Caenorhabditis elegans: one gene and its partners. The protein of the gene in region 3 purifies or fractionates together with the protein of the main gene of each other region. This does not show direct contact. Each region holds a gene or a part of one and is shown on either strand. Other genes may lie near its edges.

The links.
Region 1: the proteins of spe-15 (region 3) and gipc-1 purify together in Caenorhabditis elegans (affinity purification with western blotting, with the first as the bait; one study listed by BioGRID). This does not show direct contact.
Region 2: the proteins of spe-15 (region 3) and gipc-2 purify together in Caenorhabditis elegans (affinity purification with western blotting, with the first as the bait; one study listed by BioGRID). This does not show direct contact.

The regions. Positions count from the first base shown.
Region 1 is NC_003281.10:4,868,661-4,872,415, reverse strand, and holds gipc-1 (PDZ domain-containing protein), read right to left. Parts: upstream 1,639-3,755; 5' UTR 1,577-1,638; coding exon 1,542-1,576; intron 1,488-1,541; coding exon 1,190-1,487; intron 1,143-1,189; coding exon 402-1,142; 3' UTR 155-401; downstream 1-154. Other genes in the region: C35D10.3 (uncharacterized protein), read right to left, coding at 2,320-2,473, 2,518-2,810, 3,004-3,139, 3,449-3,486; msd-4 (MSP domain-containing protein), read left to right, coding at 3,673-3,755.
Region 2 is NC_003282.8:10,026,063-10,029,817, forward strand, and holds gipc-2 (PDZ domain-containing protein), read right to left. Parts: upstream 1,605-3,755; 5' UTR 1,553-1,604; coding exon 1,518-1,552; intron 1,464-1,517; coding exon 1,166-1,463; intron 1,122-1,165; coding exon 381-1,121; 3' UTR 351-380; downstream 1-350. Other genes in the region: msd-2 (MSP domain-containing protein), read left to right, coding at 3,021-3,350.
Region 3 is NC_003279.8:1,444,497-1,448,251, reverse strand, and holds the start of spe-15 (Myosin motor domain-containing protein), read right to left. Parts: upstream 1,756-3,755; 5' UTR 1,683-1,755; intron 1,599-1,682; 5' UTR 1,587-1,598; coding exon 1,305-1,586; intron 1,118-1,304; exon of another isoform or gene 1,018-1,117; intron 990-1,017; coding exon 695-989; intron 343-694; coding exon 245-342; intron 168-244; coding exon 3-167; intron 1-2.

The DNA of each region.
Region 1 (3,755 bases), on a different chromosome or scaffold from region 3:
TTCGCTTCTAACTAGGTTGCAGGTGGACATGGTGTAACGGACATTTGGAGCTCGAGAGCTCCAATGAGAAACCAATGGGAAAGCATAAAATTGAATACATACTTTTGACAAAACGCTGTTTTAAAATAAACATTTTGACAAAAGAAAAATAAAATAAATTTGAAGCTTCATTTAAACAGCATTTAAACTGGGAATCGATGAATGCTATGATTTTCTAGAGGCTTATGAAATGCGGATGCCTGTTGGAGAATAAGATGTGCTGAATGAAACAATCGAACTAAGCAGCGGAAAGAGTGTTTTTCAAGTCTTGTGAATCGAATAAATTTGAAAAGTTAGTGGGATATACTTTAAACCAATTTAAGACAGTTCGGAGATTAAAATAATTTATTCCACAGTAAAAGTTACTCAAAGAGTTTCATAGCCGATGGTCTTGAAATCGCATTCTTCATGACTGGGGATGGCTTCTTCTCACGTTGCTCCCGCTTCAAATCACCGATGATTCCCCACATATCGAAAACCATTCCATCCGGGAAATCGAACATTGAGAGCTCCGACTCTTTGATGGCTTCACTGAGTTGCAAAAGCGTCTCGCAGTTTGAAGCAGTTTCCCAGATTCTCATGGCCAGCTGATCATCTTGAACTCCCAAGTATTGGTCGAATATCTCATTGAGCTTTCCGCACATCTCAGCTTGGATCATCTGATCTTGAACATCCTCAACAGCAAATCCGCCTTCCGATTTGAAACGAATGGTTCCTTTTGCCAGACCTCCGCCAGTTTTTCCAGTCGTCTTCATGGTTCCTGGATCAGCAGTCTTTGGAGCAATCAATCGAACCACGCATTCCTCGCCGCGACGAACATTTTTCAAAATTCGGGCAACTTGGTAATGCCTTTTCCCGAGCACACATTCTCCATTGACCGCCTCAATGAGTTGACCAACTTGAGTGGCTGGACGCATACGATCAAACACCGAATCTGGGCTTATGACCTTGATAAATGCATTCCCGAGTCCGTTGTCCGTGATTGTCACTCCAAAGTTTTTAGCATCTTTGACGACTCGGAGCTCGGTTGCTTGTCCGCGAATGTGGGCGAAGAGCATATCCTTGAAGTTCAGTGTTCCAGTGAACATGTTCTTCATGTCTGGCTGAAATATTTAGAATAAGAATTTGACTTATTTATGTCAAAACTAACCTTAAAATCATTGACTGTCAGGAAAATGATATCATCTTTTGAAATTGTAAAGCAATCGGCAATTGATTGATACAATTCCTCCATATTGTTCCATTTGTCGATGATTCCAACTGGACTTCCATGAGCCATCTGGCAAGCAAATTTGAGCTGTCTTGCTGCCACCATCAAAGGATTGACTACTGTCATGATAGTAGACGATGATTCCTCGGCAATTGAATCCAATACGGCAGGCTGAATTGGAAGCACTGAACCGTGGTTGGAGCTACGATTGAAAGCTCCACGAGATCTCGAGCGGGTTCTAAAATATTCATGGTAACTTGAGACATAAGACTCGGGCTCATGTAATACATACCTAGAACGGCAGAATGGTGATCCTTGTCCTTGCATTGTGGAGAATGTTAGTAGTTGTACTAGTTGAAGTGAGTTGGTGTTAAATCGATGAATGAATCATTTTATCAAGAAACTGATCTTTTATAGGCATTGATGTGGGCGGAGCTTAGATGCCAACCAAATTAGAGTGCCACGCTGAGGAAGTTCATTAAAAATATAACTTTCGAATTTTATTAATTTTCGTGTTTTTCTTCATTTTGTTTTAAAACTGTAACACGTATAACTAAAGTAAATCGCAAACAATTCTCTCGATTTTTGCTCAATATCGAGGCAATTTCCAGATCTTAACACGAGTTAATTGTTCAACTACCGTACCCGTAAGACTTGCCCTAAAAATATTGGCTGCGGACTCTTCATGAGCTCAAAAAGGATTATGTGCTCATCGGAGGAGCCGAGCGATTTAAAATTGATATCTAGTTTTTTGTGATTTTAACTATTTGAAATCATTTATTTGAAGCAGTTCTTTTTATCCTGGGTTTCTTTTGTCAAACTTTTCCGAGCAGGAGCCCCGTCGACTTTTGAATAGTGATGGTTGGGAATGTATCTTGTGAAACTGAAATATCAGCCCAAGTAGCGACAAAAAAAACCAGAAGTATGAATACTCTCTATGAATACTGATAGACCTGATAATACGCTTTGTGACTATACTTCTGGCTGGCTCCTGGGCCATAACTATGGTGCAGGAAATTCTTATATTGAAACCCAATGGGAATTTTTTAATGAAAAATCTTTATTAAAAATCAATCCTCTTGAGTTCGATCAATTTTATTTTTTCTTTCCTTTTTTCCTTTCCCTTCATTCTCATCCTCATCTTTCGAGAAGAGATCTATTGTTGCTCCTGTCCACTTTTTCAGAATTTTCTGAGATCCTCCAGTGCTTGGTTGAGTGGGTTGGCTGAAAATATAATCATTTTCAGAAAATTCAAACTTAAAACATACACATCAGGAGTAAGAATATCCATATTACTCTCCCGCAACACTTTCTCTACGTCTTCATCTCTCGCCTTTCTGATTTGAGCAGCAACTACATCCGTTGATCCCATTGAGCCATTACTTGTCTTACTTGCCACTTCATTCAATGCTCCTGCGATATTGTTATTTTGATCTCGATTGTTGAAAAAGTCGAATTCTTTCTTATCACTGTTCTTCTTATCATTCACTTTTCTGGTTACTTGCATAAGAAGACCTACATTTGGCTCTTGAATGCGGAGACGTTCGGCGAGTTGCTGGAGCTGAAATATGAATAGAAGTGAGCTTCACAATTCACGCTCACCCCTCTCGACCGGAAGGCGCCTATTGCAAGAGGATGGCGATTACGTGATCATCAATGATCATTACGCCTCGGTCGGATGAAATATTTAGGCAGGGCCCGAAAAGGAAGATACGTTGAACCTGCACTAACAATCTGATCTAATGAACACAAACCTTCCACTCAGTGAACTTCAGCCATCGTACATTCCTTCGAAACCCGCAATTCATATATAACGTCATAAGCATTGTAAGGAGTGTCATGCATGTACAAGCAACAATCATCCATAAGTTTGGGCTGCATATTGCGTAACTGAAAAAAGAGAAGTTTGATAGAAGTTTACACTCTTTAAATTTTCTCACAAAAGCTTCTAATTCTTAAGAATATGGAACAAATCCTGAGAAGAAAGCAACAGCTTTGTCTCAAGGCACACATGCCTACCTTTCGCCTACTACAAAAGAGAGCTTTTGCGGGTTGGTACACAATAGATCTAGGTTTTCTTGTAGGAAATCAAGCAGGCATTTTATGCCTACACAATACATCATGACATACGCTGGCTATCTAAATGTTAAGCCTTGAAATACCCCAACATAATGCCCATTAACACAAACTATTCCAAACCTTGAAAATTGACCAATCATTCCAACTGAACACGTCATTGTGGAAATGAATTTTTTCTATAAATTTTTTATATTTTATTCATAACACCAAAAAACCTTTTCAAAATTTTCGAAAATGTTTAAACTCGAAAGTTCACGTGAGGTCACTGGTACATCTTGATAAGAGTTGCTATAAATACGATTGATTTGTTCAATTTATACAACTTTAACAAAAAGTTTCAAAAGATGTCTCTGACGGCCGATCCGCCAGCATGCACTGTCCCAGCTGCGGGAGGTGCTTCCACCCACAAACTTGTCAATGCTGGAGC
Region 2 (3,755 bases), on a different chromosome or scaffold from region 3:
AATTTCGCCAGTCGTTGGCCGCGCCGGAGGCGCGGTCAGCGGCTGGTCAATTGTATAAAAGGAGTACTGTAGCGTTTCATCAAAATAAAATCATTGGAAACCTCTAGAATGCCGATTCTTGTTGGAGAGAATACAATTGCAAGTTGAAATCTAGCACCTACGGCGCGGCCCTCGACTTTTTTGAGAAAGCACATTAGATGTACGGTGTCTATCGCGGACCTCGATCGATGTCTGCTGCGTATTTAGCATAAGGTTTCCCAAAATGATCAGAGATCAAACTACATAGTGACGGAACGACACGCGCTTTATATATAGTAAATTGATTTAGAAACAATTAAATTCAGCTAGGACAAGAAAAATAATTTATTTGACAATACAAGTTAGTCAAAGAGTTTCATAGCCGATGGTCTTGAAATAGCATTCTTCATGACTGGCATTGGCTTTTTCTCACGTTGTTCGCGTTTCAAATCACCAATAATTCCCCACATGTCGAATACCAATCCATCCGGGAACTCGAACATTGAGAGCTCCGACTGTTTGATGGCTTCACTGAGTTGCCAAAGTGTCTCGCAGTTTGAGGCAGTTTCCCATATTCTCATGGCCAATTGATCATCTTGAACTCCCAAATATTGGTCGAACAGTTCGTTGAGTTTCCCGCACATCTCAGCCTGGATCATCTGATCTTGAATATCTTCAACAGCAAATCCACCTTCCGATTTGAAACGAATGGTTCCTTTTGCTAAATCTCCGCCAGTTTTCCTAGTCATCTTCATAGTTCCTGGATCCGCACTCTTTGGAGCAATCAATCGAATGATACATTCCTCGCCGCGACGAATACTTTTCAACATACGAGCAACTTGGTAATGTCTTTTACCGAGCACAGACTCTCCATTAATCGCCTCAATGAGTTGACCAACTTGTGTTGCTGGACGCATACGATCGAACACCGAACCTGGGCTTATGACCTTGATAAATGCATTTCCGAGTCCGTTGTCAGTGACTGTCACTCCAAAGACGTTGGCGTCTTTGACCATTCGGAGCTCAGTTGCTTGTCCGCGAACGTGTGCAAAGAGCATATCCTTGAAGTTGAGTGTTCCACTGAACATGTTCTTCATGTCTGGCTGAAAATATTTCGAATTAGAGGAATTAAAGTATCAAAGCTTGCCTTGAAATCATTAACCGTCAGGAAAATGATATCGTCTTTTGAGATTGCAAAGAAATCAGCAATTGATTGGTACAATTCCTCCATATCGTTCCATTTGTCAATGATTGCAACTGGAGATCCATGAGCCAACTGGCAGGGAAATTTGAGCTCTTTTGCTGCAACCATCAATGGGTTCACCACTGGCATGATTGAAGATGATGGTTCTTCGACAATTGAAGCTAAAACGGCAGGCTGAATTGGATGAGCTTCTCCATAGTTGGAGCGACGATTGAAGGCTCCACGAGATCTTGATCGGCTTCTGAAATATTCATGGTAACCTGAGATCTGAGACTCGGGCTCATGAAATGCATACCTAGAACGGCGGCATGGGGCTCCTTGTCCTTGCATTGCGAAGAGTTAGTTGTAATTAGTTGTTGTAAGTCGAGTAAATCGATGAATGAAGGATTTACCAGAAAATTGATTATTTATAGACATTGATGTGGGCGGAGCTTGGATGCCAACCAAAGTGGGGTTCCACGCTGAGCAAGTTCATTAAAAAATATAACTTTAGAATATTTTTTCGTTTCTATTTATTCATGTATATGCTTTCTTTTTTTACCTGTTTTTAAACTCAAACACGTGTAACAAGTAAAATTGTAATTCGGAAAAAATGTATAGATTTTTGCCTCAAAATCCAGGGTTCTTTGATCTTTGACTTTGCATGATTTTCTTGATACTTACCGTGATTTTGATACTTCTTATTAAAAAAAATTTTTTTTTTGGCAAAGTATAGGCTTGATGAAACGTTTCACTCGTGTCGGGACCCGGGGACGTGTATAATCGTAAATCTCAGAAGTCTGTGGCGAAAATATTAGACTCCTGCTGTTCATAAGCTCAAAGAGGGTGATGTACTCATCGGAGGAGCCGAACAAAGTGAAGGATGTAAAATTTAGAACTTCTAGTTAGCTATATGATCCTTTACTTCATTTGAGTAATGAACTGAAAACATACGTTCCAATAAGTGAGAAGCCATCGTTCAAAACTCGCAAAACATTAGAAGCATTGTTAGGAGTTTCATGCATGTACAATAAACAATCGTAACTGTAATAAATAAATTTTAAATTATCTGACAAAAAAATATGTTGAGAAGAAAAAACAAAATGTTCTTGAGGCCCACGTGCCTACCTGGCTGCCTACCGCCCATTTCTCCGCATTTTGATTTAAAATTGATTTTTTAAATCACTGATTTATTATTTACAATCATGTGCAAAGTTTTGCTCCATAAATACATCTGGTCTCCACACGACACATTTCTGTTACATACAAAAATGTTTTGTTAGGCGAAATATATGAAAATAAGTTATTCGAAAATTCAAAATTAGTCGTGCCGAAGGTGGACATTCTGTTTTTGGCAAAAATCGCGTATCTCAAAGTTATTCTTTAGTGTCTATTAGTCCACAACTCAAGTAATTCCGAACCTTTGAAATTGACATTCCAACTAAACACGTCATTGTTAGTTGACGCCAGTTAGCGGTGAATTTTTCATGTTATAGAAAAATATATTTAATGACTTATTTATTTTTATCCTTACATACATCGGAAAAAAAAACTTTTTTAAATTTACAAAAATATTTTTTTTTCTATATTTTTATTTTTTCCTTAACCTCTTCCACGTCTTCTCGAGAGCGTAAATAACTTTTAAAAAACTATATTTTCAAAAGGGAGCAGACAGTTGATATTAACAAACCTTTTTAAATTTACAAAAATATTTAAAATCAAAAGTTCACGAAAGGTCACTGGTTCATCTTGATAACGACTGCTATAAATAAGGGTAATATGTTCAGTTTATACAACTTTAACATAAAGTTTCAAAAAGATGTCTCTGACGGCCGATCCACCAGCGTGCACTGTTCCAGCTGCTGGAGGTGCTTCCACCCACAAACTTGTTAATGCTGGAGCTGAGAAGATGATCTTCAAGATCAAGTCTTCAAACAACAACGAATACCGCATCACTCCGGTATTCGGATTCGTTGATCCATCTGGTTCAAAGGACATCACAATCACTCGTACTGCTGGAGCACCAAAAGAAGACAAGCTTGTTGTTCACTTTGCCGCTGCTCCGGCTGATGCAACTGATGCCCAAGCTGCGTTTGCTGCCATCACTCCAGCTGGAACCATTACAATTCCAATGTCGGCAACGGCTTAGACGTTTAAATCGACGAGTATGATGAGACAAAGATGAGCATTTTGGAAAAAAGAGATTTGAATGTTTTGAATGAAATATTTGAATTGAAGTTTTTGGTTTTTATTATTTCACATTGGTTTCTTACTAGAACTGCTTAGTTTCAATAAGAAACCAAAGAATTTATCATAATTGTGGCTAAGAAAGTGCCCACTAAATATTTTAACCAGGAATTGGAAACCCGGGATCATATCACTTTCTAGGTTTCAAAGCGGTTGATGCCAATCACTGCCGATCAGCCAATCACAAGGTATAATACCAGATAAAATGATGGAAGTAATTAATCCAATTAATTTCAGGATTCTCACCCCAGCTCATGTGTGACGACCTCGAGTCTTCCAGATGTCATCATTCTCGTCTGCCTCCTTA
Region 3 (3,755 bases):
ACATTAAAACTGCTCGCCGGAGCCAATCTCAACTTCTTGTACAAATCCGGTGACGATCCGGCAATCAATTGATAGAAAATGTGGTAGTTTCTTTCTCCGGCAGCTTGACGGCAGACTCTCGATGTTTCCAGCAAATAGTGAGACACAAATCCACCGGCGACAGTTCCCTGGAAATTGTGGTTGTTGGTGGCCGAGTTTTTGAAATTTTTCACGGCCACATGGCCATCACTTGGGAAAAGCTTACATTATCAGAAAAGTGAATCTGCACAAATTTTCCGAATCGACTCGAATTGTTGTTGCGCAGAGTTTTGGCATTTCCAAAGGCTTCCAGGATTGGGTTGGCTGAAAATTTTAAATTTATTTTAGATCTTGAGCTTCAGCATAAATTATGGAAATTATCGATTTCTGTTTAAAAAAGTGAACATTTATGGTGCCAGACTGTCTCATCCATGGTTTGATCTACACAAAATGCGGGAATTTTTTGCCCAAAAATATATGACGTCAGAGCGTTCTTAACCAAAAGCGAAATCAGATGAGATGTCTGCGTTTCTGCTCCCGCATTTTTTGTAGATCAACGTAGATCAAGCCAAAATAAGACACTCTGACACCTTCCATCCATTTCTACGGGAAAAAATTCCCGGTTACTGCAAACGCGCTCTATTTCGAATTTTCCAAAAGTTCAAATTAATAATACTTTCAAGAAGTCTCTGCTGAATTGGTCCGGCGTCGGTTCCCCAGTTTTCACAGAGGTACTTCAACACTGCTTTCTGTGATTCAGTCTTTCCGGCTCCAGACTCTCCAGACACAATAATCGATTGGGACGTCTTGATACGACGCATCTCTCGATAGGCCTTGTCGGCGATCGCAAAAATGTGCGGCTCCATCTGACCGAGCGATTTTCCACGGTATTCTTTAATCGTTTCAGGAGAATAGAGTCCATCGATCAGTTGGTAGGGGTTGATTGAGATCAGAATGTTTGCCACGTAGGTCTGAAAAAGCCAAATAAAATAAAATATTAAAAAAAAAAAAAACAAAAAGATTTGACCCAGGCAGGGCTCGAACCTGCAATCTTCTGATTAGAAGTCAGACGCCTTATCCATTAGGCCACAAGGCCACGGAACAGACGCGCCGGAGAGACCTACATAAAGACGCTGACAAAACCAGCGGGGTGTCTCGCACACAGCCGTGCACATAAACACTCCACAGGCGGCCGGCAAGCTGTGCGCGTTTGGTCTAGTGGTTAGCGAGCTACTCTTTTGTACACAAGACCGGGGTTCGATTCCACATGCTTGCTCCATACTTACATAGATTTTGCCATTTGCATAACGCAAACGACAATTGTTGAGCAGTGTCGCCTCATTCAAGTGCACTAGAGCGCAATTGTCCTCGACCGACTTCTGCGGATCCTCCTCACAGGCCCATGTGTCCTCATAGCGACGATTCACAGTTTCCGACGTCTTTTCAGTGGCCAATGTGAAGCCGTTTTCCGCGATATCTGTGATACGGGCGGCCACAAAGCCCTCTGCTTCATCCGAAATCCACACGAGACGCCCGAAATCCGCGGTACTATGTGTGCTACTATCCATTGCTTCTTTTTTCTGCAAATACGCTCTATTGGACAGGGCGTGGTGAGTGGGCGAGAAGAGAGAGAGAGAGCCCAGACGACGAGAACATTGACTTACCACGTGCAAAATTGTTGTTTATGCAGGGAGAAAAACGGTAATGATTGAAATTTGAACTAAACGGTTTGGTTTCGATTTTCGGAAAATGCACGTGACAAAAAGGTTGCCCTGTGGCACGTGGAAACGTCGATAAAACATTTAAAATTAAAATTTATTGATTTTTCCTCAATGTCTCAAATTTAAAATGAAAAAGTCGATTTTCAGGCTTAAAACTTTGAAAACTACAGTAACCGAAGTTTAAAGGGGCATGCTTGTAATTTATCGATTTTCCTTAAATTTTTCAAAATTGGAATTAAAAAACACGGATTTCTGGCTTGAAATGGAAGAGTTGCCGAACTAGGCCATATGGGCTCGGCCATATCTGGGGTAGATTTACGGCGCGTTGCGTGTCGCGTCGCGGCTCGATTTTAGTTGTAAAACTAAATCTATTTGTCCGTGTGGAGTACGCGACACTTTCCCACGCGTTGTCCGTCAGGAGATTGTCAATGGAGCGCGAAAAATTCAATGAGAGTAAAGCCAGAAACCCGTGAAAAAATTGATTTCCAGACTTAAAACTTTAAAAATTACAGTACCCAAAATATAAAAAAGCATGTACGTTTCTAATGAAACAAATTGAGGGTTTCTCGATTTTTCGAACATGTTTATAAAAATTCTTATCGATTAAAATTTAAAGACGTACATGTCTGAAATCATTCGATTTCTGTGAAGTTTATTGGTTTTTTTTTTCGGAAAAATATACAGTACTCCATTTTTAAAGGCGCACAACGGTTTCAAAAATTTATCAATTTTCGTTAATATTATTATATAATTTTTCGCGCTCCATTGACAATCGCCTGCCGGGCGGGAAAGTCGTGTACTCCACACGGACAAATAAATTTAGTTTTACAACTAAAATCGAGCCGCGACGCGACACGCAACGCGCCGTAAATCTACTGATCCAAAATGGCCTAGTTCGGCAAAAACTCTCCCATTTCAATTTATGAGGGAAGCCAGAAATCCTAAAAATTTGAAACTCAAACGCGTTCCGTGGCCGCGGAAAGAGAAAACACCGGCCACAAACATTTTTTTCTCCAAAAAGGCCGTTTTCCTTACAACTTTTGCCTATAAATAAGGCGAAAAGTATCAAATTTCAGAATTTATGAAATATTCACCAAAAAGAGCCCGAAATTGTGCAAATATAAAGCCGCCCCACTCGAGACTGAATAGGTAAATGTGTATAACAATTAATATATTACTTTTATGAAACTAATCTCCCCTACAAAATAAACAAAACACAATTCGCTCCGCAGGGGCCCAATTCAATGGGAAAACAGTCTCGGACAATTGTTTGTGGGGGGAAACTATCGTGGAATTGAGGTCAAAAGAGACAGTGGATTTGCCGAAAAAGTTTATGATGTGGCAGTTTAGACATGTCTATTACCTGAAAATTGCGCGGAATTACACCAAGCGCGCTCTATTGCGCGCCCACAACTCGACGCGAAATTGCAGAAAATACGAATTTTTAGATTTTTTGTTTTTAGGTCTCGAAGCGAGGAGTTTAACTGCTTTTTTTCCAAATTATAGCCAGATTCACGGATTTCTGGCTTCCCTCGTAAATTGAAATGGAAGAGTTTGCCAAACTAGGCCATGTTGGCTCAATAGATTTACGGTGCGTTGCGTGTCGCGTCGCGGCTCGATTTTAGTTGTAAAACTAAATGAATTTGTCCGTGTGGAGAACACGACTTTCCCAGTCCGGCGGGCGATTGTCAATGGAGCGCGAAAATTCAATGAGGAAGCCCAGAACCCCGTGCAGATTTAAATCGCATTTCCGCGGAAATTTCCGGAAAAAAATCTTGATCTGATCGAAAAATTGCAATATTCATGAATTTTGATCGTATTTTCGAGTTATTTCTGGACTTTCAGCCGCCTTTAGTCAAAAACTTTCAAAAAATCAAACATCGCGTCGAGACCCATTATTGTTCAGTAGAGCGCATTTGCATACACCGGCAGAAAACAAGCTCGCGCATAATAGCCAACAAAATCCGAATAAAAAGGGCGAATTTCCGCTTTCTTCCAAAAAAAAAAAACGCAGCC